Struthio camelus: one gene and its partners. The protein of the gene in region 4 purifies or fractionates together with the protein of the main gene of each other region. This does not show direct contact. Links are inferred from orthologs where the notes say so. Each region holds a gene or a part of one and is shown on either strand. Other genes may lie near its edges. The genes, in order: TJP2, CLASRP, LUC7L3 and SRPK2.

Region 1 (7,375 bases), on a different chromosome or scaffold from region 4:
AAGAACATTTGTCATTCTTTCCCCTTTCCCTGAATTACTTCTCACTTGCCAAACCATCTACTGCAACAGTCTAGAATTTGTATAGAATGAATGAGAATAATATAATTTCTGAACTGCTTTTGCAAATATCACTTATAGAATTTTATTTGCATTGAAATCATTGTCACAAGACTGATTTTTTTTTCTCTCTCTTTCAGCTAAGAAAGCACAGAATAGAGTAAGAGACTTTGAAACAGACGTAAAAAAAGCTTTCAGTTCTCACAGGGTTCTCTTTCCCTACAGCCAGCGTACCTTCCAAGTCTTTTGATATATTGCCACAATGCATTATATCAATTTGATAGAAATACATGTTACCTCATTTTCTTTATTTTGAAAACTGAGAAGTAATCAACATGGCAGACTTGTAAGGAGAAGCTGAGCAGAGAACACAAGTATGGTGAAAAAGCAAAGATTTCTTTTTGCTAAAATTCAGGCTGTCCATTGCTGTTCTCTTCATGAGCATGGTTGAGGACCACAAGTTCCCGAAGCTGACACAAGTGTTTTTCTTTAACAGATTAATTATTAGATTATGTTTGTTCACTTGTATGTTCCCAGTTGATCTGTGCTCTTTCCATTAAAACTTGGTGTTCTTTCTGCCTGAAAAACACAAAGTTAGAAGGGGAGTGGATGATATTCCTCAACAGGAAACAATGAACGTAGATGTATTTTAGACCCTTTGTTACTGAGGGATAGTTTTTTCAGGGCAAACAATGGATGTACTAATAGCTTTGAGTTTCTGTTTTCAAACAAAGTTGAAGGAAATTGATAACTTGTGAGTCAGTCTTACTCCCTCTGCATATCTAAGATTCATGAACAAGCTAGCTAAGAGGAGTGCTTGGGAGTGACTTATGCTTACTGTATGAGTTTGTTTGTGAGCTCTCTGTGTACAAGGCTGGTCACGGGGCTCCTATTCTAGTCAGAGTTATTTGGCTTTACTCAAGCAAATAACAGATTAATTAGAGCTACACTAAACAATTTTTTCACTTTTTTCAGAATCATAGTTCTAAGCATGCTATTGGGAAGTGTTTGTAAGGAAGAATCTGTTCCTCATATCTCTAAGGGAAAAATGTAAGGTTAAAAAAGGTGAAGGGGTGGTGATGGTGGAAAGAAGTGCCAAAACGTATGAGAAATTGTGATAACATTGAAAACAAAACTAACTTAAAAGGCAGATTGGATTTCATCAAAATGTTTCTCTGATTAAGCAGGACTGACTATTATCATGAATTACTACATTCAGAAGGTGTTTAAAAACTGAAATAGTCAACAAACTGCTAGTCAATACTGCCTGCACAATAGGGCTGCTAACGCTCTCAAAAGTCAGGATGCATGCAGGCCTGATGACATTAGCTGTGCTTACAGACTGCTACTAGTATTTCACTTTCCCAAGGTTCTTACTACTTTGTATGCAGATGTTTGAAATTGTAGTATTGTAGCTTTTTTTTTTTCCTTGGTCTTGCGAAAGTAATACTTAGCTTCACTTTATTTCTATGTTTTTAATACATTAGCTGCTTTCCTGAAGGGTTTTGACACTGTCTCCCATCACATGCTCGTAGGTAAACTCAGGAAGTGTGGGCTGGATGAGTGGACGGTGAGGTGGGTTGAGAACTGGCTGGACGGCAGAGCTCGGAGGGCTGTGGTCAGCGGTGGAGAGTCCAGTGGGAGGCCTGTAGCTCGCGGTGTCCCCCAGGGGTCAGTGCTGGGCCCAGTCTTGTTCAATGCATTCATCGGTGACCTGGAGGAAGGCACAGAGTGCACCCTCAGCAAGTTGGCTGATGACACTAAACTGGGAGGAGTGGCTGACACACCAGGGGGCTGTGCTGCCATTCCGAGGGACGTGGACAGGCTGGAGAGCTGGGAGGAGAGGAGCCTCATGGAGTTCAGCATAGGCAAGGGCAGGGTCCTGCACCTTGGCAGCAATAACCCCATGCCCCAGGACAGGCTGGGGGTTGACCTGCTGGAGAGCAGCTCTGCAGAGAAGGACCTGGGAGTGCTGGTGGACAGCAAGCTGGGCATGAGGCAGCAATGTGCCCGTGTGGTCAAGAAGGCCAATGGGATCCTGGGGTGCGTTAGGGAGAGCATTGCCAGCAGGTGGAGGGAGGTGATCCTGCCCCTCTCCTCAGCCCTGGTGAGGCCTCACCTGGAGTGCTGTGTCCAATTCTGGGCTGCCCAGTACAAGAGAGACATGGCACTCCTGGAGAGAGTCCAGCGGAGGGCCACTAAGATGATGAGGGGACTGGAGCATCATCTCTCCTGTGAGGAAAGGCAGAGAGAGCTGGGGCTGTTCAGCCTGGAGAAGAGAAGACTGAGAGGCGATCTCATCAACGTGTACAAGTATCTGAAGGGAGGGTGAAAGCCATACTCTTTTCAGTGGTGCCCAGCAACAGGACAAGAGGCAATGGGCACAAACTGAACCACAGGCAGTTCCGTCTGAACATGAGGCAAAACTTCTTTGCTGTGAGGGTGACGGAGCACTGGCACAGGTTGCCCAGAGAGGTGGTGGAGTCTCCTTCGCTGGAGATATTCAAAACCAGCCTGGATATCTTGTGCACTGTGCTCTAGAGGACCCTGCTTGAGCAGGGGGGTTGGACTAGGTGATCTCCAGAGGTCCCTTGCAACCTTGGCCATTCTGTGACTCTGTGATTTCCTAATACATCTCAAATTTCCAGATTACGTATTCCTTACATATCTATGTACAACTAGATAGGTATAAACTGCAGATTTCCTTTTGTCAGTTATTTGTCGTTTTATTTCTTGAATCTGTAAACTGCTTAATTTTATATTGCTATTTTAAAGTCAGTTGAGCAGATTTAATAATTCACTTGAGATGGTTCAGTGTGTGCATATTTTGTGTAAGTGAACTTAAGTTACAATGTAACTTAATATATTGAGTGCCAGGTAGGGCGTAAGTAATACAGAAGAGTGAATAATACAGGGACTGGAAATAACTGTACAAGAATTCATTGTGTAGGGCTGAATATTTTACAGTATAAGTTTAGAAGTTGTAGTTTCCATCTTAAAGGTTTCAAAATATGTAACATTCTATACAAAGTCACCTCAGCAGAAATATAGGCATTTTACTACTAGAGAATAGTTAAAATACGCAGTTTGCAGAGGGGTTTTTGGCCAGGTCTTTAGGATAAATGCTTCCCGTCCCGTCTGTTCTTTTTGCATGTTTATATAAAATAACCTATACAACAATAGAAATAGTATATATAAAATTATATATAAACTTTCATAGTTAGTATCTTACTATCTATGTAGCATTACAACATTTCCTTTGTTAATCTTTTTTGCAGTCAAGCAAGTCTCTCTTAATACTGTAGTTTGGCAGTGCTGCAGCATATCTAAAATGCCACTATTACTTCAACTTGTACATCTGTCTCCACGCTTGTAGTTAGTACCTGAGGTCATTGGCATGCACAATTACTTACGTCATGGCTGGAACAGTTTTGACACGGAAAGTGGCTTCTGGCGTTGTGTGAGGCACATTTGTATGACTAGTAGGTATCATAATGAAGTCTTTATCTTGCTTAATTCTGTGTAAGTGAAGTAAGGGAATGTTTCTCCATGCCTCTCCTGCTCAGATCACAGATAAATCCTGGTGCTACGGAGAAAAGTTGAAGCAAAAGCCATTATTACCTTTCAGAGTATGTAAAAAAAAATTCTCAACTTTTCTGTGCAGATCTCATTCCCTCAGTTGATCTGAGAGAGAAGTTACCTAGCGCTCCATTAGTACTTGAAAGATTATAAACATCAGAGATTTAGCCAAGGATTAGTAAATTGGAGAGTGTGCATTATCCGGCCAGGCTTAGAACCGTGATTGTCTCTTCAATCATTTTCATTAGTGTCTTACTCAAAGATCAAATTATGTAACAATGACGTTTCAGGGGAATCTGGCAGGAGTTTTTCTTTGGTTTCTCTCCCAGACTAACTCTCCATGCCTAGTAGAGGGGGGGAAGGCATTATTTTTATGCTTGAAACCTGCAGTATGTTTTGAAAAGCAACCGTTCAGACAAGTGCAGAAGCATGACTGCGTTTGGATGACAACTTAGCGTGGTGGAACTCTTGAGAGAGGCAGGATGCGGTACAAGAAATATATAACTATCTTAGAAGCAGCAATAGGCATAACTCCCCTTAACAAAAGGGAACTGCTTCCTGAAGGTAGACATGCAAACCTTTGGCAACATCCCAGGTAAGTGTTACAAACGAGATAAATGAGTAACTGTGGGAAAACCTGTGTTAACCTTGAAGAATACAATTTGAACGCTTCTATGAGAAAAGGAAAGAGTCATTCATAAAAACAAGTAATCTTTTGTCTGCCTTCCAAGCAGTGTATCTTCTGCAGTTGCAGTTAAACTCTGTGGTTTCATTAGAGATTTCTGTGCATTTACTGTCCTTGGCTACCAGGACAATTAGAAAGAGGCATAATTTCTAAATTAAAAGTTTGCTCAAAGAGTAGAAAGGATAAACAGGAGCATACTTATTGCAATGAAAACGAGATAGTCATTTTGTATTAATGCTTACTCCTGCTGCATGTGTATGTGTGGGTTCCCCCCCTCCTTGTTAGAATGTGCATATTTTAATTATTATCTATGGGAGAACTAGCAGCTTCTAAAAGCAGAAAAAAAAACCCACTTTTTTGCTTGTATCCCACTTTCTTTTTCTAATAGAAAGCAAAATTTCCTCATATTTAGGAGTACTGTTTTCATAAAGGAAATATGCAGCAATTAATAGAGAAAACAATTAGGATTTTTAAGCGTTCAGACTATGAAATTGGGAGCATTCTGTTCTGGTTAAAAACAATTCAGAGTGCTTTCTTGTACCCCCTAACTTGAATGTTGGACTTCAGAAAATTCGTTCGTTCGTAACTCAGTTTCCCTCTAAAAGTGATCGTCTTAAAAACTCCTGTGCTCATAGAGTGTGTATGTGAGAAGAGGGATTGTCCTTCTTTCCCATCTGCTCATTCTATGTAAGTAGCGTCAGTGGGTGCATATCCTCATAGCCTTTCTAGTCTCTCCTGTTCTTGTTTTGCATTAGAATGTTGTACTGTTGTTTAAGACATGGCAGAGGAACATAAAATCTGAGAAACTTGTTGAAGACTAATGGTTAGATAAGTTTGTACTGGTTGTGATTAGTTTTGTGTGAGAAAATTTTCAAAGAAAATCTTGGAGTAAAAATGCTATCACCTGAACTCTAATTTTGCTCATGATTTTTCTGCAAGAACCCCTCTGCTAATAGTGGTATCAACAGTAATACCAATTCAAATAAAGCACCCATATGATTTTTAGTTGCTTCACCTAAATGACAAAATACTGGATGCTAAGATTTTCCACCCTCTTCATTGACACAAAAATTCTTCAAGTTGATCCTAGTGTGCTGGTATTGCACTGAGGAGTGCTTTTTGGCTTTTTTGTTAAAATGTGCTCATTTGAAGGCATCCTTAGTACAATGCATTGTAGACACTTCTTTCCCATGTTCTCTTGACTCTGACTTCCTCTGATTGTTTAATGTGAGTTATCTGCATGCCAATCTCTCTGAATCTTGCAGCCGTTCTTTACATGTTGATAAAAAGTTACATGATGGCTCTTGATCCTTGGAGGAACGGTGTTAGAATGTAATGACACATTCTTACAAAATTTCTCTTTGTGCTTCAAGTAGATTTGTTTGGCTAGAGGAGCAACTTGAAACAAACCATTTAAAAATGAAACTTATTAACTTTAGCATCCCTTCTTTTTTGCTTTACTACTTAAATGTCTGAATGATAAGCTTTCATCTACGAGTGAGTGTTAGTCAATACCCAAATGCAAAACATACTGCCTTGTTAATACTTGTTTTTCTTTCCAGTGTTATTAATCAGGCGTCTCCCTTCTTTCATAGAGGGGTTTCGAGTGATGTAATTGTTGTACACACTTGGAATTTTAACTTCTTAAAATGTATTTGAATTACAGAATTGCCATTCTGACAATTCAACAGAAGTAGAAAAGCTTTTGTCATTGGACTTCATTAGGGACCCCTTATATCCTTTTATTAGATCTTTCCGAGCACTAAGGGTTGGGAGCTAACAATTGCCATGAAGTGAACCATGGTTTGAAGAAAAGAGCGCTGTTCTGTTTGCAGCTGCGGACTGTGATCTGTGCAATTGGAATAAGCAAATTTATAACTCACTTGGCTAATATCTGCTTGTCACTCAGCCTCTGGTGGTACTCTATCAGGTTCATATAAAAAAGAATCCAATCAAATTGAATAACATTTTTAAACTAGCTATTTTTTCCCCCAATTTCCATCATGGCGCATTTTCTAAAAGCTAGTACAGAATGTAAAGTGTATCTGGCTCCTCCTCACTGCACAAATTCAAATGCATGCTTAAGTTAAATTCTTCCTATGCTTCTCTCAACCATCTCATAGAATGAAAGAAAATCAGCATTAAAGTGGGATGTCAACTCCCGTGCCATCACTTGAGAGGTGTGAAAATACTGACAGTAACCCAGACTAAGGTGTGAGAGAGGGCAAGGAAGAAAAGCGTGTTATTTTGCTAAGGTGTTCATTTTCGTTTCCGTAGGAAAGTCATTATAAAGCATATTTTTCCATTTCACTTGGAATAATTACGCGATTTCTGTGGCAGATGGATTCTTTGAAACTGTTCGCATCTTCACAGGGAATCAAAATGATGACAGCAATGGTATTTTGGTTTTAGCTTTCTTGTATAACTTTCCTGCTGTTTTCTGGAAAAGACACTATTACTCTGCACACAACCTGGAACAATGAAGTCGATGTTTGCTCATAATGCATAGCTTTTGCTGCTCTTTGAAGACGGTGGAAATTCATGCTTAAGTTTCTGTCTGTTTGAACTAGTAGAGCCTTACTTTTGGAAAGATGCATTTGTGGAGGAAGGAGTCAGCAGAGAATGAAAATGAACATCTTTTGTCTTCTCAAAGTGATTGGCAGGAGCTGCCTGCATTTGTGAGGCTTAAGAAGTTCATCCGAGACCAAATGATTTTTTGTAATGCCTTAGACCTTTTAAACTTCCTTTTCTCAATCTCGGACTTCATTATGGACGTACTCAGGGAAAAGTGGGTGCCACACGTGAGGCACGTCTATAAAATGGAGTGTAGACTTGTAGATTGAACAAGTAATTGTACAAGTTCTGTAATTGAACAAGTTCTGCAAAATTCTTTTGCTATCTCTTTCTTATGACTTCTGCTAACTAGAAGTAGCTGTAAGTTATTAACCAGAAGAATGTATAAGTTGAGAGGAAAAGACAAACAAACAAACAAAACAAAGCTGTTACGAGTATGAATAAGATATTGCCAGATCTCCCTAGAAAAGTTTCTCCTTT
Region 2 (7,165 bases), on a different chromosome or scaffold from region 4:
GCCCCCATGAGCCAACAGAGGCCACCACGGGTGTCTACCAGCTTGGCAAGGGATCCTGGAAGGCCATAGAGCTCGGGGTGGGCCCCCACGAGCCCGCAGAGGACACCACGGGCATCTACGAGCTGGGCAAGGGCTCCTGGAAGGCCGTAGAGCATGGGGCTGATATGAGCCCGCAGAGGCCACCACGGGCATCTATGAGCTTGGCATGGGCTCCTCGAAGGCCGTAGAGCATGGGGCTGATATGAGCCCACAGAGGCCACCACGGGCCTCTATGAGCTTGGCAAAGGCTCCTCGAAGGCCGTAGAGCTCAGGGCGGGTCCCCACAAGCCCGCAGAGGCTGCCACGGAACTCTACCAGCTGGGCAAGGGCTCCTCGAAGGCCGTAGAGCTCGGGGCGGGCCCCCATGAGCCCGCAGAGGCCGCCACGGGCATCTACGAGCTGGGCAAGGGCTCCTCGAAGGCCGTAGAGCTCGGGGCAGGCCCCCATGAGCCCACAGAGGCCACCATGAGCCTCTACGAGCTCGGCAAGGCCTCCTCAAAGGCCATAGAGATCGGGGCGGGCACCCACGAGCCTGCAGAGAATGCCACGGGCGTCTACGAGCTGGGCAAGGGCTCCTTGAAGGCCGTAGAGCTCGGGGCGGGCACCCACAAGCCCACAGAGACTGCCACGGGCATCTACGAGCTGGGCAAGGGCTCCTCGAAGGCTGTAGAGCTTGGGGCAGGCCCCCACGAGCCCACAGAGGCCACCACGGGCCTCTACAAGCTGGGCAAGGGCTCCTCGAAGGCTGTAGAGCTTGGGGCAGGCCCCCACGAGCCCACAGAGGCCGCCACGGGCCTCTACGAGCTTGGCAAGGGCTCCTCGAAGGCCGTAGAGCTCGGGGCGGGCCCCCACGAGCCCACAGAGGCCGCCACGGGCGACTACGAGCTGGGCAAGGGCTCCTCGAAGGCCGTAGAGCTCGGGGCAGGCCCCCACGAGCCCACAGAGGCTGCCACGGGCCTCTACGAGCTGGGCAAGGGCTCCTCGAAGGCCGTAGAGCTCGGGGCGGGCCCCCACAAGCCCGCACAGGCCCCCACGGGCATCTACAAGATCGCGGCAAGGGCTCCTCGAAGGCCGTAGAGCTCGGGGTGGGCACCCACGAGCCCGCAGAGGCCACCACGGGCATCTACGAGCTGGGCAAGGGCTCCTCAAAGGCCGTAGAGCTCGGGACGGGCCCCCATGAGCCCACAGAGGCCGCCACGGGCATCTACGAGCTGGGCAAGGGCTCCTCAAAGGCCGTAGAGCTCGGGGCAGGCCCCCATGAGCCCACAGAGGCCACCATGAGCCTCTACGAGCTCAGCAAGGGCTCCTCAAAGGCCGTAGAGCTCGGGGCGGGCACCCACGAGCCTGCAGAGAATGCCACGGGCGTGTATGAGCTGGGCAAGGGCTCCTTGAAGGCCGTAGAGCTCGGGGCGGGCACCCACAAGCCTGCAGAGGCCACCACGGGACTCTATGAGCTGTGCAAGGGCTCCTCGAAGGCTGTAGAGCTTGGGGCAGGAACCCAACGAGCCCGCAGAGGCCACCACGGGCATCTATGAGCTTGGCAAGGGCTCCTCGAAGGCCGTAGAGCTCGGGGCAGGCCCCCACAAGCCCGCAGAGGCTGCCACGGAACTCTACCAGCTGGGCAAGGGCTCCTCGAAGGCCGTAGAGCTCGGGACAGGCCCCCATGAGCCCACAGAGGCCGCCACGGGCGACTACGATCTCCGCAAGTGCTCCTGGAAGGCCGTAGAGTTCGGGGCAGGCCCCCACAAGCCCGCAGAGGCCACCACGGGCCTCTACGAGCTCAGCAAGGGCTCCTCGAAGGCCGTAGAGCTCAGGGCAGGCCCCCACGAGCCCGCAGAGGTCGCCACAGGCCTCTACGAGCTTGGCAAGGGCTCCTCAAAGGCCGTAGAACTCGGGGCGGGCCCCCACGAGCCCGCAGAGGCCGCCACGGGCATCTACGATCTCGGCAAGGGCTCCGCGAAGGCCGTAGAGCTCGCGGCGGGCTCCCACGAGCCCGCAGAGGCCGCCATGGGCATCTATGAGCTGGGCAAGGGCTCCTCGAAGGCTGTAGAGCTCGGGGCTGTCTCCCACGAGCCCGCAGAGGCCACCACGGGCCTCTACGAGCTCGGCAAGGGCTCCTCGAAGGCCGTAGAGCTCGGAGCGGTCCCCCACGAGCCCACAGAGGCCACCACGGGCATCTATGAGCTGGGGAAGGGCTCCTCGAAGGCTGTAGAGCTCGGGGCAGGCACCCACGTGCCCGCAGAGGCCGCCATGGGCGTCTACGAGCTGGGCAAGGGCTCCTCGAAGGCCGTAGAGCTCGGGTCAAGCCCCCATGAGCCTGCAGAGGCCGCCACGGGCCTGTACAAGCTCGGCAAGGGCTCCTCGATTCAGACACATATGAGCTTTGCTTGTTTCCATATAAACCATTAGGGGCAGGCATGAGTGCCTACGATCTCAGCAGAGATCTGTACAAGCCTGTAGAGCCCTGTGCCATCTCATACAGGCCTGTAGAGCCTAGCACTGACCCATACGAGCCCGTAGTGCCTGGCATGAGCCCACATCAAGCTCAGCACAGGTCTGTACGAGCCCATGGAGTCCTGTGGGGGGTCTGTACAAGCCTGTAGAGTCTGGCACGGGCCCATATGAGCTCTGTGTGGGCCCATACCATCCTGTGGAGCCCTGTGGAGGCCTGTACAAGCTTGTAAAGCCCAGCAAGGGCCCATCCGAGAGCATAGAAGCAGGCGCGGGCTCATACCAGCTCGGAGTGGACCCATACTAGGCTGCAGAGCATGGTGTGGGCCCGTACAAGCCTGTAGGCCTTGCTGCAGACCCATATGAGCTCAGTGCAGGACCGTACAAGCCCATGGATCCCCATGGCATACCGTACAAGCCCATAGAGGCTGGCACGGGCGCGTATGAACCTGTAGGGCCTAAAGCAGGCCCGTACAAGCTCAGTGTGGGCCCATACAAGCCCATAGAGCCCACCACAGGCCCGTATGAGCCCATAGACCTTGGTGTGGGCCCATACAAGCTCCACGAGGGTCCATACGAGCCCGTAGAGCCTCATGCAGGCCCAAACAAGTCCGTAGAACCTGGTACGGGGCCATACAAGCCTGTATGGCCTAGCACAGGCCCATACGAGTTCAGTGCGGGCCCATATGAGTCCCTAGGGCATCGTTCAGGCCTGTAGGAGCCCGCAGGTCCTGGTGTGGGTCCGTAAGAGCTTGGCATGCATGCGTACGAGCCCGTGGAGCCCCGTGTGAGTTTGTGCGAGCCCCCAGGGTCCCCAGACTGGGACTGGTCCAACCCAGTCCCCCCTCACCAGGGCCCCCAGACTGGGACTGGACCAGTCCAGTTCTCCCCACCACCACAGGGCCCCCAGACTGGGACCGGCCCGGCCCAGTTCCCCCACCCCACCAGGGCCCCCAAACTGGGACCGGCCGGGCCCAGTTCCCCCCCCAACCAGGGCCCCCAAACTGGGACCAGCCCAGCCCAGTTCCCCCACCCCACCAGGGCCCCCAAACTGGGACCGGCCCGGCCCAGTTCCCCCACCCCACCAGGGCCCCCAAACTGGGACTGGCCCGGCCCAGTTCCCCCACCCCACCAGGGCCCCCAAACTGGGACCGGCCCGGCCCAGTTCCCCCACCCCCCAACCAGGGCCCCCAAACTGGGACCGGCCCGGCCCAGTTCCCCCACCCCCCAACCAGGGCCCCCAAACTGGGACCGGCCCGGCCCAGTTCCCCCACCCCCCAACCAGGGCCCCCAAACTGGGACCGGCCCGGCCCAGTTCCCCCACCCCCCAACCAGGGCCCCCAAACTGGGACCGGCCCGGCCCAGTCCCAACTGGTGCAGCCGAGCCAGGCCCCGCCCCCCTGCCATATCCCCGCCTCCCCCTCCCCGCGCTAGACCCCGCCCAGCTAGGGCGTGGTGCCCCCCCGCAGGCCTCGCCCCTCTCCGGCTCTCCCATTGGCTCCTCCCCCACCACGTGACCCACCCCTCCCCACGCGCCGCCGTTCTCTCCCTCTTCCTGTTTCCCCCAGCCCCGCCCCCTCCCGCGCTTCCGCTTCCGGGTCGGTCCATGGCCGCGGGCCCGGTGGTGAGTGACTAATGGCGGCGCGGGGCCGCCCCCTTCCCTTCCCCTCCTCCCTCCCCGGCCCGGCCCCGTCCGCAATCCGCCCCCGGGGCCACCGAGCTGCCCCCCCCCGCCGCCGCCGCCGCCCCACCCGTGGCGGCAGCAGCGGAGGGCACCGGGGGGGGGGTGTGCGCGGCGCGGCCTGGCCGGGGTGTTGGCCTGGGGCCTTGTGGTTCCCCCCCCCCCCCCCGGTTGTTCCCCTAGGTTGAGCGGTGTCACCGTCTGTCCTTTCCCCCCCCCCCCCCGCCGGTGCTTTCTTCGAGGGGGGGTGTCCTGGTCCCCGTTTCCCTCCCTCCCCGCCGGTTCCTTCCCCGGGGGGGTCCCAGTCCCCGTCTCCCCCCCCCTCCGCCGGTGCTTTCTTCGGGGGGGGGGTCCCGGTCCCCTTTTTCCTCCCCCCCTCCCCGCCAGTCCTTTCCCCTGGGGGGGTCCCAGTCCCCGTTTCCCTCCCCCCCCCCGCCGGTTCCTTCCCCGGGGGGGGGTTTTCGGTCCCCTTTTCCCTCCCTCCCCCTCCACGCCAGTCCCTTCCCCGGGGGGGTCCCGGTCCCCGTTTCCCTCCCCTCCCCGCCGGTTCCTTCCCCGGGGGGGTCCCAGTCCCCGTCTCCCCCCCCCTCCGCCGGTGCTTTCTTCGGGGGGGGGGTCCCGGTCCCCTTTTTCCTCCCCCCCTCCCCGCCAGTCCTTTCCCCTGGGGGGGTCCCAGTCCCCGTTTCCCTCCCCCCCCCCGCCGGTTCCTTCCCCGGGGGGGGGTTTTCGGTCCCCTTTTCCCTCCCTCCCCCTCCACGCCAGTCCCTTCCCCGGGGGGGTCCCGGTCCCCGTTTCCCTCCCCTCCCCGCCGGTTCCTTCCCCGGGGGGGTCTCAGTCCCCGTCTCCCCCCCCCCTCCGCCGGTGCTTTCTTCGGGGGGGGTCCCGGTCCCCTTTTTCCTCCCCCCCTTCTCGCTGTTCCCTTCCCCGGGGAGGGGTTCCCGGTCCCCTTTTCCCTCCCCCCCTCCCCGCCGCCAGTCCTTTCCCCTGGGGGGGTCCCGGTCCCCGTTTCCCTTCCCTCCCTGCTGGCCCCTTCCCCTGCGGGGGGGGGGGTCCCGGTCCCCGTTTCCCTCCCCCCCCCCCCGCCGGTTCCTTCCCCGGGGGGGGGTTTCCGGTCCCCTTTTCCCTCCCCCCCCCTCCACGCCAGTCCCTTCCCCAGGGGGGTCCCGGTCTCCGTTTCCCTCCCCTCCCTGCCGGCCCCTTCCCCGGGGGGGGGGGTCCCGGTCCCTGTTTCCCTCCCCTCCCTGCCGGCCCGTTCCCCTGGGGGGGGGGGTCCCGGTCCCCTTTTCCCTCCCCCCCTCCCCGCCGCCAGTCCTTTCCCCTGGGGGGGTCCCGGTCTCTGTTTCCCTCCCCCCCCCCCGCCGGTCCCTTCCCCGGGGGGGTCCCAGTCCCCTTTTCCCCCTCCCCAGTCCCTTCCCCGGCGGAGATGCCTGGTGTCCTTCCCCCGCCCAAAACCCCCATTTCCCCCTCCCCATCACTGTCTCCTCAGCTCTCGTCCCATCCCCTTTCTTGTCACCTCTGCCAAGGGGCACCCAGGGGCCCCTCCCTTCCCCAGTGTCCCCCTGAGCCCTGGTCCCCCCTCCCTTACCCCTCACCCCTTCCAAGGGGGTGGCCCATGTCCCCCCTTTCCGGGTGGCCGCGGCCCCGCGATGGCTCTGGGCCACCTAACGGGCCTCCGGCACCAGACAGGGGAAGTGGCCGTCCCCGCCGGTGCGTCCGCCGCCGTGCCGAAAACCACCCGCCCGCCTCTCTGCCGGCGCCGTCTCCTCGTCGCCACGCCGCTCCTTGACAGCTCGGGGACAGCGCGATGTGGCACGAGGCCCGCAAGCACGAGCGCAAGCTCCGGGGGATGATGGTGGATTACAAGAAGCGAGCGGAGCGCCGCCGCGAGTACTACGAGAAGATCGTGAGTCGCCCCGGGCTCGCGGCTGCCCGACACTGGCCCGGCCCAGCCGTGCGCCGCAAACTGGGCGTTTGTCCCTCGTCCAGCAGCATTCCCGCTCCTTCGCGGGGTTGGGGCAGGCTGGGGGGGCCGTGCGTGTCCCAGGCTGGGAATATCGTCTCGCAGAGAGTTTTGCTTGTGGTTGAGGGAAGAAGAAGAGCCTCAGGGGAGGATTTAGTCCCCGGTAGGCTGCTCTGTGGAGGGTAGGAAGTGCTGATTTTGGTGTTTGGGAATCGCGTGGGTGCTTTCCTGCGGTTTTGGGGGCTGGAAAGGGGAGGAAGACGGAGCCACAGCCCTCTCTGCAGGCATCTGTCACTGTCCAGCCGCAGGAAGCGCCGTGGGCGCCCCCGGGCGGGTGCCCTGCTCCTCTCTGCCTGCCTCGACCCCATGCGGACAGAACTGCCCCCCTTGGAAATGCCTCTTCCCTAAACCTTTGGCCTTTCTACTCCCCTTAGAAAAAGGACCCAGCCCAGTTCCTCCAGGTCCACGGCCGGGCCTGCAAGGTGCACCTGGACTCGGCCGTCGCCCTCGCCGCCGAGAGCCCCGTCAACATGTGAGTAGCTGCATGCGGGGGGCAGAGACGGTCTCTCCCCGCTCGCGAGGGCGTTAGCGGCTCCCTGGAGCTGTCACCTTCCCTTCGTGCAGCTGAGGGGTCTTTAAAAAAACAAGCCTGGCTGGCAGGAGACTCGCAGGTCCTGTTTGAGCACTGAATTTATCTCCTGCCAGACCTTAGAGAGAGGCTTTTTGGCTGGCTCGTGGTTCCTGCTTTTCCCAAGTGCTTTGCTCCTCTTGGCGCTTCCCTAGCGGAGATGCCGAGCAAGTAGGATTGCCTCCTTCGTTGTTAGCTCTGGAAATAAAATCTGGGCCATTTCCCTTCATCAAAGCGATGAGAAGGACTCAGCTCCTCCTACGGCAGAGCTTCTAGAAGACACTGTCACAGCTAATGAGTTTGTTCCCCCTCCTCGTTAGGCAGTGACTAATGCAGCAGGAGCTGAGTGTGCTCGTTTGTGGCGCTGGGAGGGAGCGTGCAGGCTTGCGCTGCTCGTGTGCATCCC
Region 3 (7,626 bases), on a different chromosome or scaffold from region 4:
CAAAAACCCTTTATGCCAAACCTAAAGCTGATCATCCAAGATATATCGCAAGACTGAAACATACAGCGACTGGGATTTCAATTTTTTATGATTATAAGCTTTACTCATGTCAAAATTCTAAGGTAAAAACTTAAGCTATACAACAGGCTTTACAATACATGATGATCATCACACTTTTCATTACAACTGCGAATAAACGCTCAGCTATCATACACGCTGCTTCCACAGCTTCACAAAAGCCTATTTCTGTTGTGCATTTCACACCATCTTCCACAGAAGTTGTGACATCTACCTAAATGTAATTTACAAATGATAAATAGAAATTATAACCTTCCACATCTAAAATTTATGAAATCTTGATAAAATCTTAAATTTTGGAATGAGAATACAACAGGCTCACATTGAAAAAGGCTTTGTGTTGATAACAGGTATAATTTCACAAGTAACAACACTTATGTACATGTTTAACCAGAAAAACAAAACAATAAACAGGCAAACTAATGTTGCTAGCTGAACCTTATCTGCATTTCCTGACTTCTAAAATAAGTCAGCATTACTAACAAAACCCTTATTAAACCGATGCACAAATTTAAGCTGAAAGTAAAATACATTTCTGTGTTTTAACACGGGAAAGGTTTTGTTCTGAACTAGCCCACTGACTATAGGGATTTATGATAACATCCCTTTCAGAAAGGTTGCATTTAATGATGCTCATATAAACTTCATTAAAAAAAAAGAAGCAAACTCGGAACGAACACAGCAACATTTCCTCTTAGGCTGAAGGATCAACTCTAAGCCCCTACTGGCCTCAACAAGGACAGGGACAGCTCTCCCCTTTCTAAATCATCAAGGGAGGACTGAGAAGAAGAAACAAGGCACTGTTTCTGAAACAACAAAACTGAACAGCATCTTAGAGATGGATTTCTATGGTTTTGAGTCACACATTTTAAAAGAGTTTATTTTTCAATTTTAGGCTAAGGATTAAGTCATCTTAACTTGATTAAAGAGAAGGAGGCAAAAAATTCTTTCTCATCTTCAGAAATAAAACGAGAAACCCCTTATCTCCTCTACCTGCACGGACATGCCCGAAGCCATTTACTTCCTATTTCCAGGGTTAACCAACTCCTTTCCTTTTAGAGCTCAGAAAATGTGTAACTGAACACCTATCTGAACAATCACACTTGATTAAGTCAGGAAAAAAAAAAAAAACATTATTTCATTAATAAAACTTCCTGAGCTCAATTTCTCCTGATGCGTATAGCTTACCTCTATAACAGCATTTTTCAAGGAGAATTAAAAATTGCTTGGATTTACAAAAGTCTAGCAAGACAGGTATTTGTCCTTACATGTTGTTTTTGAGACAAATTAAAACTTGGTTTAGCCAGCTCTAAAATAAAGTAACTCTTGTTTGAAAATGGGAAATTCCCAACTTGGTGATTCAGACACAACTTTAAAAAGCCAAAAGCAAACATTTCTCCTGCCTCCCAACTTAACAACATGAAAAAAATGCTAAGGGGGGAGGAACACCACACATTTAAACTAAATGCTTTCTGCAGCTTTAACCACAACAACTTCGACCACACAAAAGATAAGTGAACTGTCTTATCTGAACTGGGACTCTCTCTTTCTTTTAAAATACAGCACAGCACAAAAATACATCACGACAGGGGGAAGGGAGTAGAGGGAAGTGTTTCAGAGTTTTCAAGTCACCCAAAGGGGCAGCTATGGCAACTTTGTTATTACTACTGATTTTTTTGTGAAATAAGTTCTAATACCAACCACAATGGATGTCGCTAGAAGCTAATATCCACTAAGATTTAACCACACGTGGGGAGAAACCTCACTCCAAAATAATATAAGAAAATCCTCTTCTTTTTGAGCAGTTTAAAGCAGAAGATGGATGTTATCACCCCATTGACAAAAAATTCTCAAGTACTACAAAAATAACAGCAATACTGTTTAGGTTTAGCCCTCCCACCCGGAAGTGCAGTAGGTAAGCTTTGGGAAAGTACAGAAGCAATCAAGTTTTTTACTTTGAAAAATCTTCAGCTGCAAAAGTCTTCTGGATCGTCACTGCGCTACAACCTTCACAGTTAAGTTAGCATGAATGTATTCTTCCGTTTCCTCCAATACCACAGTTAGGAAGAGATCCAGAGAAAACTTGTCTTTCAAACCGCTAACACCTGTCTTATCTCCCCTCATGCAAGCCAGCAGGCTCCAAGAAATTCTTGCTTCTACTACAGCTTCCCACAGTTCCCCCCTCCCCCCCCGGGAGATTTCAGCCATCGGCAGGCCTCTCGGAAACCCTTACTACCATTTGTCGACGCGACAGGGAGCGCACGCCAAGGCGAACACAGCCTCTCCCCCTTACGCTGAAACCCAAACACAAGGCCTCTCTCCTCCCATCAGCCCTGATAACAACGCAAGCCCTCTCGCACAGCTAAGCCATGGCGGGATCCTCCTCCCTCCCGGCCACCCAGTTCCTCCTCCTCGTCGGGCAGGCTCAGCGAGCTTCCCGCGCAACGGCGCGGGCCTAGGCCGCCCCGCGGCCGCCATGCAGGAGCCCCGCGGCCTCGGGGCGGGAGCCTCGCACGACGGGCTCCACCGGCGCCTCGGCCCTCTCCTCTCGCTAAACCTCCGCGGATCCTCCCCCGCCGAGACCCCGGCGCCCCCTCGCTCCCCCTCCGCGGGCCCCCACCCGCGGTGCGTGTCGCGCCGACAAGACCCAGGCCCTCGGCCGGAGGGGGGGGGGGGGACCAGGGGAGGGAGGGGGAGAGGCGGCTCCGCTTCACTCACGCTCTCATGGTCCCACCGCACGTTGCTGCGCTTCTCATCCGGGGCCAGGTTTCTATCCCGGCCCATAAGCTCATCTAGGAGCTGGGCGGCCGATATCATGGTGTCTTCCTGGCCGAATACCTCCCCGCCGGGCTCCGCCGCTGCCGCCGCCTCTCCTCCCCGACTCGACCGCGCCGCCGCTGGAGTGACAGAGACAAAATGGCGGCGCCGCTCCTCGCCCTGCCCACAATGCACCGCGCGCCTGCTAACCGCCTCTGGGGCCTGGCGGGGGCCGCCGCCGCCTCGCGATGGCGGCGGGGACGGGCCGCGGCGGCGCTGCCCCGCGGTCGGCGGCTTCGCCGGGGGGGCGTCCCTCGCAGCCGGGACGTGGCCAGGCTGGGAGCCGGGGCCTTTCCTGAGGGCCCCGGGCACGGTATTCCCGCCGGGAGCGCCCCTCCGGCCGGCGGGGAGGGCACGGGGCCTCACAGCTGACCAAAACCTTCCTCGCCCCGGTACCGGTCGGTTATGTCTTGTCCCGTCATGGACGGAGACTAACTGATGAGCGTTCACTTTATTCAGTCATCTTGCAGATTTCAAGACGCGTGTCTCCTTAAATAAACCCAGTTCGTTTTAATTTTTTTCTCATGGGTCTTTGGTTTGGTTTTTTTTTTTTAAAACAACTCTTCTAATTTTTATTACCTGTTTTTGGGGTTCCCTCCCGTTCGTCTATAGCAGTCTGAAAGCGTGGATTTATTCCAGCTTCCCGGCTTGGTTACTGCACAAACGCAGGAAGGGTCTCCTCAGTTTTTTGCATTTTTTAATAGCTTTTTTTTTTAACGGTGCACCGATACGCAGTTTGTAGCCCCGTGTAATTTCTCTGGTATTAACGCCCAACCAGCTTCTGCTCATTTTTGGATGTATTTTTCTTTTTTTGCCTAGGTGTGGCTCTGGGCCTTGTCCTTACTGAATTTTACCTTACTGATTCTAAAGCATTTTCCAAGTCCTCAGAATCATTCTGACTGCCCAAAGTATGCCAAATTATTTAGTACCGCCAGACGAGGACAGTCCCCTTTCGTACCTCAGTTAATGCAATCCCTGCCAACTCCTCTCTTGAATATGCTTTTTTCGAATGCCTGCTAGTCGGTTTTGTAGAAATTTCTTTTGTACTGTCAGTCGTTAACTTGCTAATGAGAATATTAGTGCTGTGGACTATGGCCGAACATCTACCATTGGCACTCCTGCAGCTTTGCTCTTATCCTCTATACCAATTTTCCTGCCAAGTAAGAAAATTATAGTAGCTCAGTCTGCCTACCCTTGACAAATCCATTTTTTTCCCCTATAACTATTATCCTCTACCTGCTTATAGATCATTTAGTCATTCATTCCCAGCATTTTTCCACATGTAAAAATTATGAACCGTGACCATACTGATACTCCTGAAGCGTAGCGAAACGGACCTAACAAGGACTGGGTTTTTAATCAAGTTTTTAATCAGAGATATTCCCCTCTATTCACAGTATAAGAGAAACATCTATGTTTCTCTCCCTTACTTTGTCATTTCCTGTTGGGCTCATTTTAGAACCAATATCATGCTGCTTTATCTTGTAATAAAAAGAGGGTTCTAGTGGCCTGGGAAGGGCTTGGCCACGGGTGAGCGCGCTCACGCTGGGCATCTTGGTGCTTTCAGAGGTTTGGTATAGTTTCGCAGATAATGGACGTTTTCAGGTACCCGAAAAATCTAGTACGTTAACATTTTGTGTTTGTTTGGATTTAAATTTCCTCTGTGCTACTAGTCTATATTTCCATCATTTATACTGGAAGAAGTAAAAAAGACAAGGAATAATTAAGTAGTATGAATGTTAGTTTAAAAATCTTGAACTTGGTTGCTTTTTTTTTTTTTTTAAGAGTTTGAAGTCTGTATTAGCGCTGACCTTGTAAAAAAACACAGAATTCATGGCTGGTCTTGCTCAGACCTCTGCTGCAATCACTGAAGGCTTCACGCAAACTCACGGGTTGTCCATAGAGTTTCTGTTCAGAACTCTGTCCATAAAACTTCCATATCCAGCACTGTAAGGCACTACATTTTTTTTTTTTAATCTTTGCAATTTCATAGTGATTTAATTACCCATTTGAATTGTTGTAAGTAAGAGTGTAGCTGAAATCAGTGCGACCCCACTTACACGTATCTTAAATCTTAAAAATTCTACAGTTTGGGGTTTTGAGGGGGATGGAAGGTGGATGTTTGCTTTAGAAAAGGGGGCCAGAGTTGTTCTGCGTTTCGGCTTTATATTGCTCCCATAGCATCAAAACACCAGCCAGGTACCCTGGCTGCTGAACTGGGATCAGCCTAACCATTGCAAATTTCCCCAGAGTGCGCTCCTAGAGCATACTAGACTAGAAATGGTGTAGTTTCGTTAGATGTCTGGCTGGAGACAGAAATGATTCTTTTGAGTTTTTATAATTGTGAAATTTTTACTAGCTCTTCGCTCTTCCGTAACTTAGCTTAGGACAAATCAACAGTGATCAAAATCAACTTTTTAAAGCAAATACGGTGAATTACAGGAACTGCCTGTAATCTTTGCAAATGCTTTGCAGGTAGCCTTGGAGTTATTAAGGGCTTAATTAATTGCAACGCGAATTCTCAGCGATGATGAGAATTTCCTAGACAGAGCAGTCGTGCGATTCTGGAGCCTGTAAGCACAAGCAACAGAGCAGGAGATGCTGTGCGTTATACAGCTGCCTGTACATTAAATAATAGTTTGGTACTTTAAAATTGCCACGTACCCGTATGTGGCTAATAAATCATCCCGACTGTAAAATCGCAGCAGCCATGACTCGCACGCAAGGCTGTTCGTAGGAACTAAATATCTAGGTCAGAGTTGTCACAGATAATAGAGTCCCCCTGGAAGAGTTTAGGAAAGGGGGATGCTCCGGACACCCTGCAAGCGTGTTTGTTATAATGTCCTTTGGCAGTAGGTCCCTGGGCTTGATTTAAGGCTAGCACACAGAAAGTCACTCTGCATCCAAATTTAAAACCGACAAAGGGCACGAGACACTTTGTGCTTGCGGAGCTGCCCGGTCTGCGAGGTTGGCAGCATGAGAGATCGCCCCGGTTAGAGCGCTCCTCCACCAGACCCGCGTCTGGTCCGAGGCTCCAGCAAGATGACAGCCCTGGTAGAGGAGAAGGAGCTGCAGGAGAGACTGAGAGAGGCGGCGGCGCTGGGGGACGCGGAGGAAGTTCAGCGGCTGGTGGAACTGGGGGTGAACCTGAACTCCCAGAATGACATCAACGGCTGGTAAGGCTGCCGAGCGGGAGCCGGAGCGGGTCGTCTCCAGGACGAGTGGAACCGAGGGCTCCTGAGGCTGTAGAGATGAGTTTGTTTACCCTTTTTGTTTTGTTTTTGACTAGGCATACGCTACTGCGGATTTTTTTCTCTTTCAGCTGAAATACGCGCATCATGACCGGTGTGAATTTGGGATGAAATTAAAAATGTGCTTCTTCAACGCCTTGCCAAATGCTCTTCCCTATAGCTACCTCTCACTACGCCAAAAAGGAAAAAAAATACTGCTGGAGCTGATAATTGCTTTATAAATTTGCACTCTCGTCCCACCCGCTATTTTTGTTCCTTTGGTGTTTGATCCTTCTTCAGGTCGTTGTTACTTTATATTGTTTATTTTTTTGGAAAGGGAATGCTGGCAGCCTAAGACAGCACCGTAACATAGCTATCAAAAAATAAACCTCAGCTTGCCAAGATATATTAATTTATAACCGGACTTAATTCGTGCTAACTTCCAAATCAGGCTCTAAAGTGACTGCACTTTCATCAGCAAACTTGCAGGCTGTTTCGGTGATGTCCCTAAAATACTTTTAGTTCTGACATCTCATTCAAATACCACCTAGTGACACTAAAACGAAGTCCTTTTGGTAATAATACGCGTTTGTGCAGGCGGGACTATATACGTGAATGAACACGCACACGGTACCATTTGAAGCGGGAGCTGCAGGGAACGCTCAGGCGTTTTTGAAGGCTGTTTTCCTCAAGTTGAATTCAGTGTGTATTTACCATGCTGTACTGCGCTTGAGGTTTTAATTAAAAATAGGAAGAACAAAATTAGGAAAGAAGCTGCTATTCTAAAGATTAGAGCGCCAGTAGTAGTCGTCAGCAGCATGGAACGCTTGCAACTTGCGGTTCAAATTGTGATTAAAATCAGAGCTTGTAATAACTTCTGCAAAGTGATTCCTAAGAGCATAAATTATATTCATGTGCAAGAGAAGTAGTTGCTGGCCATCCAAATGAGTTTCTATCTAAAACTGGCATTGATGGAAGAAACAATAAATTAAAAAAAAAAAAAAGAATTATTTTCAGAAATAACGATCTGGTCATTTTTGACTATGACAGTAAATGGATCTTCACTGTTATTTAGGTTTGCTTGTAGAATTTAAATCGCTGGAATGACCTTTTCCATGAGTCTGATGCTCGGGGGTGCTGGATACGTGCGTTTTGGTGTGTGTTGGATCTGGGGGGGTAGCTGGTACCTCTCCGCATGAGACCTTGCTAAAGCCACGTGCGATGGTCAGAACGAATTCCAAAATGAGGCAGCGCCGCTGAGGCTCGCGTATCTTCTGAGCAAACTAAACCCTCGAGTTTTACACGCGTGCAGGGTCCCGCTGAAGTCTCTGGCGTTCAGTATAGAGGAAATAGTGTGTAATTCTCAATGGAGCATCCTCGTTTAAGCAGGGAAAGCAAACATCCCCGCGCTGCCTGCGTGTTCTCTCGCTGCTTTGGTCTAAACTAGCTACGACTTGGCAGTGCGCTGCTTCTGAATCCATGCAAACTATTCACACGCGAA
Region 4 (7,271 bases):
ATAATTGACTTAAGGGGTCAACACTGAGCAGTCACAGGACTGATCTCACAGCCTTTCATGGCAATTAAGGTCATAACAGACAAAAAGCTATTCAGAAGGAAAGAGCACTGCATTTTTTTTTCTTCTTGTGTCATCATCTTAATACTGTTCAAACAAAAGCCTGCAAGTTACAATGCAATGTAACCCTCCTAGCCAATTCTAGAAGAGTCCTGCAGTTCTTCGAAGCACATTGTTGCCAGCAACAATGGAAGTTGCTCTGTAAAGCTATGACTCAACAGACAAGGGTCTTCCTACAAGCTACAGGGAAAAAAAAAAAGCTTTGGATTCAAAACTGTGAAACAAGATCTTATGTTGTAGAACTTCCGCTCCTTAAATCAACATTTTCATTTGCAACTACTGCATATTTAACGTGCATCACAGATGATATACAGTTCTATAACATACTAGCATATGCTGTAGCAGTTGGATTTAAAGCAAGGCTGGAAACAGCAGAAAAAAAGGGCTACTTCTGCTGAGGTTATTTTCTAAAATAATGTCCAATACTAGTTTTGGCCCACAAAGTAAAGCTATTTAACCATATGCAAGGAGATGTAAAATTTTGAAAGAGTTACCCAAGAAGTATAAAAAGGTCTAGATAGCATAAAAGGGGGTTGAAGAGAAAAGAATAATATGTAGTAGCAAAGAAACGATGGCGCCATTGTCTACGGCAGCAAAACCACTGTTTCCCGAGGGCAACTGAACAGATTGGGCCATTGCATCTGGAAATGCCGACTCAGTATGGCAAAAAGCCAGCTACTGACTGTGCACCCTGACTTAACAGTAGCCAGTTTCTTCAGCAAACTGGAAGAGAATACCAGTTTTGTGTCTGTTAAAGCAAACTTCTAACGACCTCATTCAGCAAGACATCCCAAGGCAACCCTGGTTAGAAACATATCGAACACTCTATCATATAACTGAAACAGTAAGGTATTAATAATCTTGTGGTTAAGATTCAACTGAAAGCTACAAATACAATTCAGAATCTAGAGTTATAATAAAATCTGAGATTTTTCTGTTTTCAAAGTGGCTAAACACATCCACGCAATATTACAAACTGACTTTCTGAAGGCTTTTGGAAACAATGGAACTAATCTAATCATACTGTGCATCTTGTATGCAAAATTTGTTTCCTTCACAATAGTAACAAATTCATATAACTGAAAGCACAACTGAAAGCACAACAAAGCTTTCATACAACACTGGAGGAAACAGCAGTAGCAGGCAGGGTGTGGATGAAAGTTAACTGTCAAAATCTGATGACGACCACCATAGAATTTCATTTCATCCTATATTATTTTTACATACCTCAAGGGGGGGGGGGGAATCTTATTACCAAAAAAAAAAAAAAAACCCCACACAGGACAGAGGGAGAGGAGTGCTTTTATTTCTTTCTACAGAAATCAAAAAGAAGAAAAAATCACCCCTGGAATAATTTATTGTGACACATAACAACATCTTTACCCCATCACCTATAAATACACATCTGTCCATCATGTCCAGCTTCCTAGATTTAAGACTGGCAGACTAAGAAGACAGCGAGATGAGGAACATCTGTGGAACAAATCTCCCTGTCAGAGTAAAGTAGTCAGACTAGATCCCCAAGGTACAAAAACAAAGACAAGAGTCTAGATGAGGTATCATGGCAATAAAGTCTCACTGAACAGAACACAGTAAAAGTTAATGAAGGAAAAACACATAATCCTGTGAGAACAAAAAGTAAAGCAAGTCCAAGGCCACAGTGTCCTAATAAGGACTCCTAGGAAAACGCAGTTCAAGCATGAGCATACAGAGACGGGAAAACAAACGTTTCAGTGAAAATGGCTATTGTGAGAATGAGAAAAAACGAACAGGACAGTGACAAGATGATGAAGCGTTACCAGGAAAAAAAGAGGAAAAAACAGACAGTTATTAGAAGTCAGTTTCTGCAAGCCGGAAGAGATTTTAAAAAGACATGAAGTCACAGAGGGCAGGAGCGCTCACAGGAGAAAGAGCTTCACCTAGAAGAAGCACTAGCGGAAGAATTCCCAGGCAGTGAGATACATGTGGAAACAGGAAATAATCTCAAAGCACCAAGTAGAAAGTGTAGAACAGGAACGGTATATAGGGCTGTTAGGGGGATAACTAAGAAAAGGATTGTCTATAGACAGGACGATACCAGTAAAGCAAGAGAGAAATCACAGAACAAAAAGCACCACGAGAGAAGGAAGACCGCTAGGGCGAGAGAAGTCCAGGGGCAGTTTGAAAGGGACACGAGAGGTGATGGCGACAAAGACCAAGCCTGTGCACATCCCCGAACAAACGCAGGTTTCTCAGAAGCCCTAGGAGAAAAGTATCGCAGCGCTCTTGGGAAGAGGACACAGGAGTGCCTCAGAGCAGGTTTCCCTCGGGGCAGGAAGGCAGGTCTGTGCCAGCAGGGCGAGCCAGGGAGGCCTTCCCCGAGGGGGCCGAGCCGGGTGTCCCGCACACCCGACGGCGGGGGGGGCGGGGGGGGGGCGGCGCGCGGCGGCGCGGGGGGAGGGGTAACGGCCACAGGGCTTCTGTGGAGACGGAGCGGGGGGAGGGGGCGGCTCCGCCGGGAGAGCTGCCGCCTGTCTCGGCGGGGGGAACCAGCCGGGGGGGCGGTGGGGGGGGAAGCAAAACCTGAGAGACGTTACCGGGAAAGGGAGCGGGCGGGCAAAAAACGGGAGGGAAAGAAACCGCCGCCGGCGGGAGAAGCGTGAGCGGCGCGTGTCCCGCGGAGGGGGGGGGGGTGGGCTCGCCCCGCGGCGGCGGCGAGACAGGGATCCTAGCCGGGGGGGGGGGGCGGACAACGTTAACGGCGGCCGAGGGGAAGGCTCCGTCTGGGGAGGAGCGGGCGGGCGCTGAGCGGGTGGGGGAGGCTCCGTCCCGCCGGGTCCGGGCTCTCCGTACTCACTTTTTGTGCGGCGGCGGGTGCTTGTCCCTCCTGCCGGCCGCCGCGGGCTGCTTGGGCCGCCGCCTGCGGGCCTGCAGGGCCAGCACTGCGGGGAGAAGAGAAGGAGGAGAGCGCGGGGTTAGCGGCCGGCGCGCTGCGCTGCGCTGCGCTGCGCTGCCCTCCCCTCGCTCCCGCCCCGCGGGACCCGCCGGCCGGCCCGGTACCTTTGCGCGAGCTCATCGCCTCGCGCCGCGCCGCGCGCTCCTCCGCGCGCGCACCGCTCGCCCCGCCCCTCCCGCCGCGCCGCGTCCGCGCGCCGCCACCGCGCGCCAGCCGCGTCCGCGCGCCGGGCACCGGCCGGCAAAGCGGCGGCACCTCCCCCCCGCAAACCCTTCCCCGACCGGCTACTGCGCAGGCGCAGCTCTGCCGGCGGGGCCGCGGCCGGAAGGGCGGGGGCGGGGCGGCGGCAGGTGGCGGCGCGGGCCCGGCGGGAGCGCACCTGGCGGCCCGCAGCGCCCCCCGCCGCCGCCGCCGCCCCCCCCCCTTTCTGAGCGGGCGGGGCAGGTCGGTGCCGGGCCTGGGGCCGCCGGTGAACCCGCGGGCCCCGGGGCGCCTCTTGGCTGGCGCCCGGCGAGGACGAGGACCCGAGGCCTTTACCTGGCGTGACCGGCCCTTAACTTGGAACCTGTTGGGCTCCGTCGCGTCTCACCAAGCGATTCTGCAAGCAGTTCGCTGGGGGCTTATTTATGTAAAATACTACTCCCCTGTGTATTAAAATATATATATATATGTATATATTATATATACATATATATATATATATACAGAAAAGGGGGATGCATTCAAGCACGGGGTGATGACGCTCTTCCCCTTGGTCAGCCCAGCCTGCCGCCTCTGCCTGGGCTGTGCTGTTGCCCGAGGAGTGCAAGTGCTTTCCGCAGGAGAACGGCGCCCGGCGCTCAACTCCTCCTCGTACAAGAGCTTCTTCCCGCTCTTAACCTGGCTTTCCCACGCAATGAGAGTTATGCTGCCAGTTCCTGCTGAATAGCTGTCAAAGCCCCTAGCTGATTTCAATCCCGTTTGATAAGGTTTTCAAAGAAATTGTCTTCTTGGAGATTTTAGGAAATAGAGGACCTGATAAAGGGAAAAGATACTACTCGTACTTGCAGAGCAGGTACTCACACCTTGTACGTAAGGTTATACCGCTACCCACGGGGACATTCTTGCTCTCCCATCAACTGCTCTGCTTTTGCCCCTTACGTGGGCCCAGGCCCCTCACCGGGGTATCTGTGCGGTGAGTTCTACCACTTCAGTGAACCAAATGAAAACTAATTCTGCCAACCCCAAAAAATACTAGTTTGCAATTGGGATAGCAAGCTGATCCCCCCTCCCTCCCCCATTGCTGCGTAATTGCTCAGAGTGGACAAAAGAGAAGGAGAAAAGCCTAGTGGGAGCGGAAGTGTCGATCTGCCCTTTTGGCAGCCGCCTGAAGCTGGATCAGCTTTAGCTTATCACGAAACTGTAGGGTTACATGCCAGAACCAATTACCCTCATGACATAAAGCCAGAGAAATTAGATGTCCTTAATTCTGGTTCTAAGTTCGTTGATTGGCATCACTGACAGTTATTTAACTCTACTTTTTTTTTTTTCTCTCTGCAGATCGTAACAGAAATACAGTGTCTTGCTGCTCATGATACCAGGTTCTATTCAGATTTGGCCTAGTCATGACCTGTTGAAAATTGCCACTTCTTATTTGTGCTTTGCATTGCATAGCTACATTTGAATAGTGTTAGGATTTGGAGATTTTGTGTAGTCTATAAATTCTGCTTGATGCAGAAGATGATCTGGGCCATACTGAAAACTCCAGTCGTCTAGCTTCTCCTTTATCTCCGTGTAAGACTGGAATTCAAAGGCATAATGACAGAAAGGTAACAGTGGGCAGTTATTACATTTTGATGGCACACCTTCCTCCCTAAATGCCAAGAGAAAGAATCCACAAGGATGAAGATCTCAGAGGAGATGTGGTCAAGGTATGATGAGTGAAGGTAACGGGCAGCGATCACTAGTCTTATGTAATTGGATCATAAAGGTTTCAGCTAGACAGAATAATTGAATCCCTGGCTGCAGTCAGTTCAGCTTAGTAACAGGACAGGAACAGAAAGATAGCATCCATTCCTTCCTAGCAGGTTCCATATAAAGCCAGACAACTCAGACATACCACAATATATAATACTTTCTGTCCGACTGGAGAGCCTAACAGACAGAAAACAATAGGACCACAAAGCTCCTAAGCTACAACTGTCATGATGCACCACAGCTGCATTTCTAAATCAAAACAGTTTTTGTTTTGCATCCTCCATCATAGAAGATCACAGGAAAAAAAACATTTCCAGTAGAATCTATTATTGTGTAACATGTAATGTTAGCATGCTGCATGTCTCCCTTTCTGTGGTTAGTCCAGTTCAATATGATAGCACAGCAATGTAGTCAGTCCGATAGATCAGGCAACAGAAGGCTGTACTGAAATTGCGAAGGCTTTCTGCTCAGAAAATGTAGATGCATGAAAATTAATAGTATTTGAATGTTGAAAAGCAGATTACATATCTCCCCTTTTTGTCCAGGCTATTTTTAGCTTCATTGGTTCATTGTGCTGCTGCACAAATACTTGTGCCTCTATAGAAGATGCTAGAAACAAGCAGCGGTTGGTGGAGAAAATGGTGAGACTACTTTTTTCTTTTTCAGTGGCAGTGTTGGCTGAAAGCGATCTTGTAGCCATGGCTATGGAGTGGAAATCGTATCAGGGTCCCGAACGTCTTTTCAGCTACTCATGTGTAATTCTATTTACTTCAATAGGAGATTTGTATGTAGAACTGATTGGACAATTAGGTCTTAGATAACATCAGTGAGCTTTGCTTACGTCAACAGGGTTATAAATTTGCCAAATCTGGAGTCAGGAAGGAATTTCCCTCACAGGCAACATAATGTCAGCAACCTAATCAGGGTGAGGGAACAATCTGCTAGCGCCGAGGGAAGGAATTACGTTAGGATCAGGTGGGTGTATTCCACACAGTCAATATCTTTCCATTCCAATGGACATATATTTCTGGACTGTATTCTTCCTGCTTTTTCTTTTTTTTCAGAAGAGCCTCTTAGACGATGCTCACACAGAAGTGCAAAAAACTCACTGAGACTCCATATGTACGTATAGAGGCTTACCATGTGCAGTTAACTAAACTGGAGAGTAAATTAAGGTTAGTAGAAGCTAAACATATTTTGAAAACCAGGAAACTGTATTTCTCAGACTCTGAGAGTGTGGCTTATGCATATTCCTGGCTTATGCATATTCCAGAGGACCCAAGCAGGGAGTGAAAGTTCAGGGTCAAATATTTAATGGAATAATGTGAGGTATGTTAAACCACCTCATTTTATAGATTTGTGTATTTTTTCAGATTCATATTTCTTTAAAAATATGCTGTAATTCCCTTTGAGCTTGCAATTTGTGAAGCAATTCGAAAGAGAATGAAAGACTCAGGTTTTTGTCTTAATTATGAAAACCTTAGTAAAGGTACTTTCAGCGAAGGCAAACAAGCTGCTCACATGAATAAGGTTAATGTGATAAAGTATTCACTGGATCAGTCTACGTTTGACAAAAATAAAGAAGGGAGACTAAAGGGAAGGGACTCCATTTCAAAAAATACAGAGAGTGGTCATTAAGAATAAACGTACCCTGCATTATATCTATTCGAATTCACTCATTTCAGTGGAGTTCTCCATTCTTATTTCATTATGTCTTATTATATATATTATATATATACTTAACTGTTTCAAAAATCAACAATGAGTCAAGAGAGAGGATATCCTGAATAGTGAAAGAAGGCTTTTATAAATAAACAATATAAATTAAAGACAATGGACTGGGACAGAATGTATTTGGGTCTGGCTGTCTCTCCCTGAACATAATATTGGAACAGGTGCCTGTTTAATTATAAGGATTACCATAGAGCTCATTCACTCCGGGGAAGGGCACGGTGAGGTTTAGTCATATGACTGCCCCAACAGGAGGAACAACAGCAGCAGCAGCAGCAGCAGCAGCAGGTATAGATGATCTTCGGTACAAATATTAGGGGGGAGGCAGGAGAAAATGTCAAATTATGAGATTATATTTTTACCTGTTTATAATGTAGTTTGAACCAGACATTTGATACCTGCTAGATGTGTGCTTCGTTTCCTTTTCACCTAACTTTAAAACACTTCACTTATACAAAGAGGCATTCAATTTTCAGACATGAGTGAAATACATTTGTACAGAATAAAAAAATAACCTAGCAGCAATCCTATA

Evidence for each region.
Region 1: the proteins of SRPK2 (region 4) and TJP2 purify together in Homo sapiens (affinity purification with mass spectrometry; 3 studies listed by BioGRID and IntAct, with this or other methods). This does not show direct contact. The link is inferred for Struthio camelus from reciprocal best matches to the Homo sapiens genes SRPK2 and TJP2.
Region 2: the proteins of SRPK2 (region 4) and CLASRP purify together in Homo sapiens (affinity purification with mass spectrometry; 3 studies listed by BioGRID and IntAct, with this or other methods). This does not show direct contact. The link is inferred for Struthio camelus from reciprocal best matches to the Homo sapiens genes SRPK2 and CLASRP.
Region 3: the proteins of SRPK2 (region 4) and LUC7L3 purify together in Homo sapiens (affinity purification with mass spectrometry; 3 studies listed by BioGRID and IntAct, with this or other methods). This does not show direct contact. The link is inferred for Struthio camelus from reciprocal best matches to the Homo sapiens genes SRPK2 and LUC7L3.

What each region holds. Positions count from the first base shown.
Region 1 is NC_090982.1:25,650,550-25,657,924, forward strand, and holds the start of TJP2 (tight junction protein ZO-2), read left to right. Parts: upstream 1-4,118; coding exon 4,119-4,231; intron 4,232-7,375. UniProt on the Homo sapiens protein: Plays a role in tight junctions and adherens junctions. Acts as a positive regulator of RANKL-induced osteoclast differentiation, potentially via mediating downstream transcriptional activity.
Region 2 is NC_090957.1:1,329,575-1,336,739, reverse strand, and holds the start of CLASRP (CLK4-associating serine/arginine rich protein), read left to right. Parts: upstream 1-3,995; 5' UTR 3,996-4,114; intron 4,115-5,853; 5' UTR 5,854-5,975; coding exon 5,976-6,074; intron 6,075-6,565; coding exon 6,566-6,663; intron 6,664-7,165. UniProt on the Homo sapiens protein: Probably functions as an alternative splicing regulator. May regulate the mRNA splicing of genes such as CLK1. May act by regulating members of the CLK kinase family.
Region 3 is NC_090960.1:7,424,704-7,432,329, forward strand, and holds the start of LUC7L3 (luc7-like protein 3), read right to left. Parts: upstream 3,194-7,626; 5' UTR 2,896-3,193; coding exon 2,797-2,895; intron 1-2,796. Other genes in the region: ANKRD40 (ankyrin repeat domain-containing protein 40), read left to right, coding at 5,938-6,071. UniProt on the Homo sapiens protein: Binds cAMP regulatory element DNA sequence. May play a role in RNA splicing.
Region 4 is NC_090942.1:15,421,302-15,428,572, forward strand, and holds the start of SRPK2 (SRSF protein kinase 2), read right to left. Parts: upstream 3,228-7,271; 5' UTR 3,173-3,227; coding exon of another isoform or gene 3,157-3,172; intron 3,039-3,156; coding exon of another isoform or gene 2,954-3,038; intron 2,440-2,953; exon of another isoform or gene 1,468-2,439; intron 1-1,467. UniProt on the Homo sapiens protein: Serine/arginine-rich protein-specific kinase which specifically phosphorylates its substrates at serine residues located in regions rich in arginine/serine dipeptides, known as RS domains and is involved in the phosphorylation of SR splicing factors and the regulation of splicing.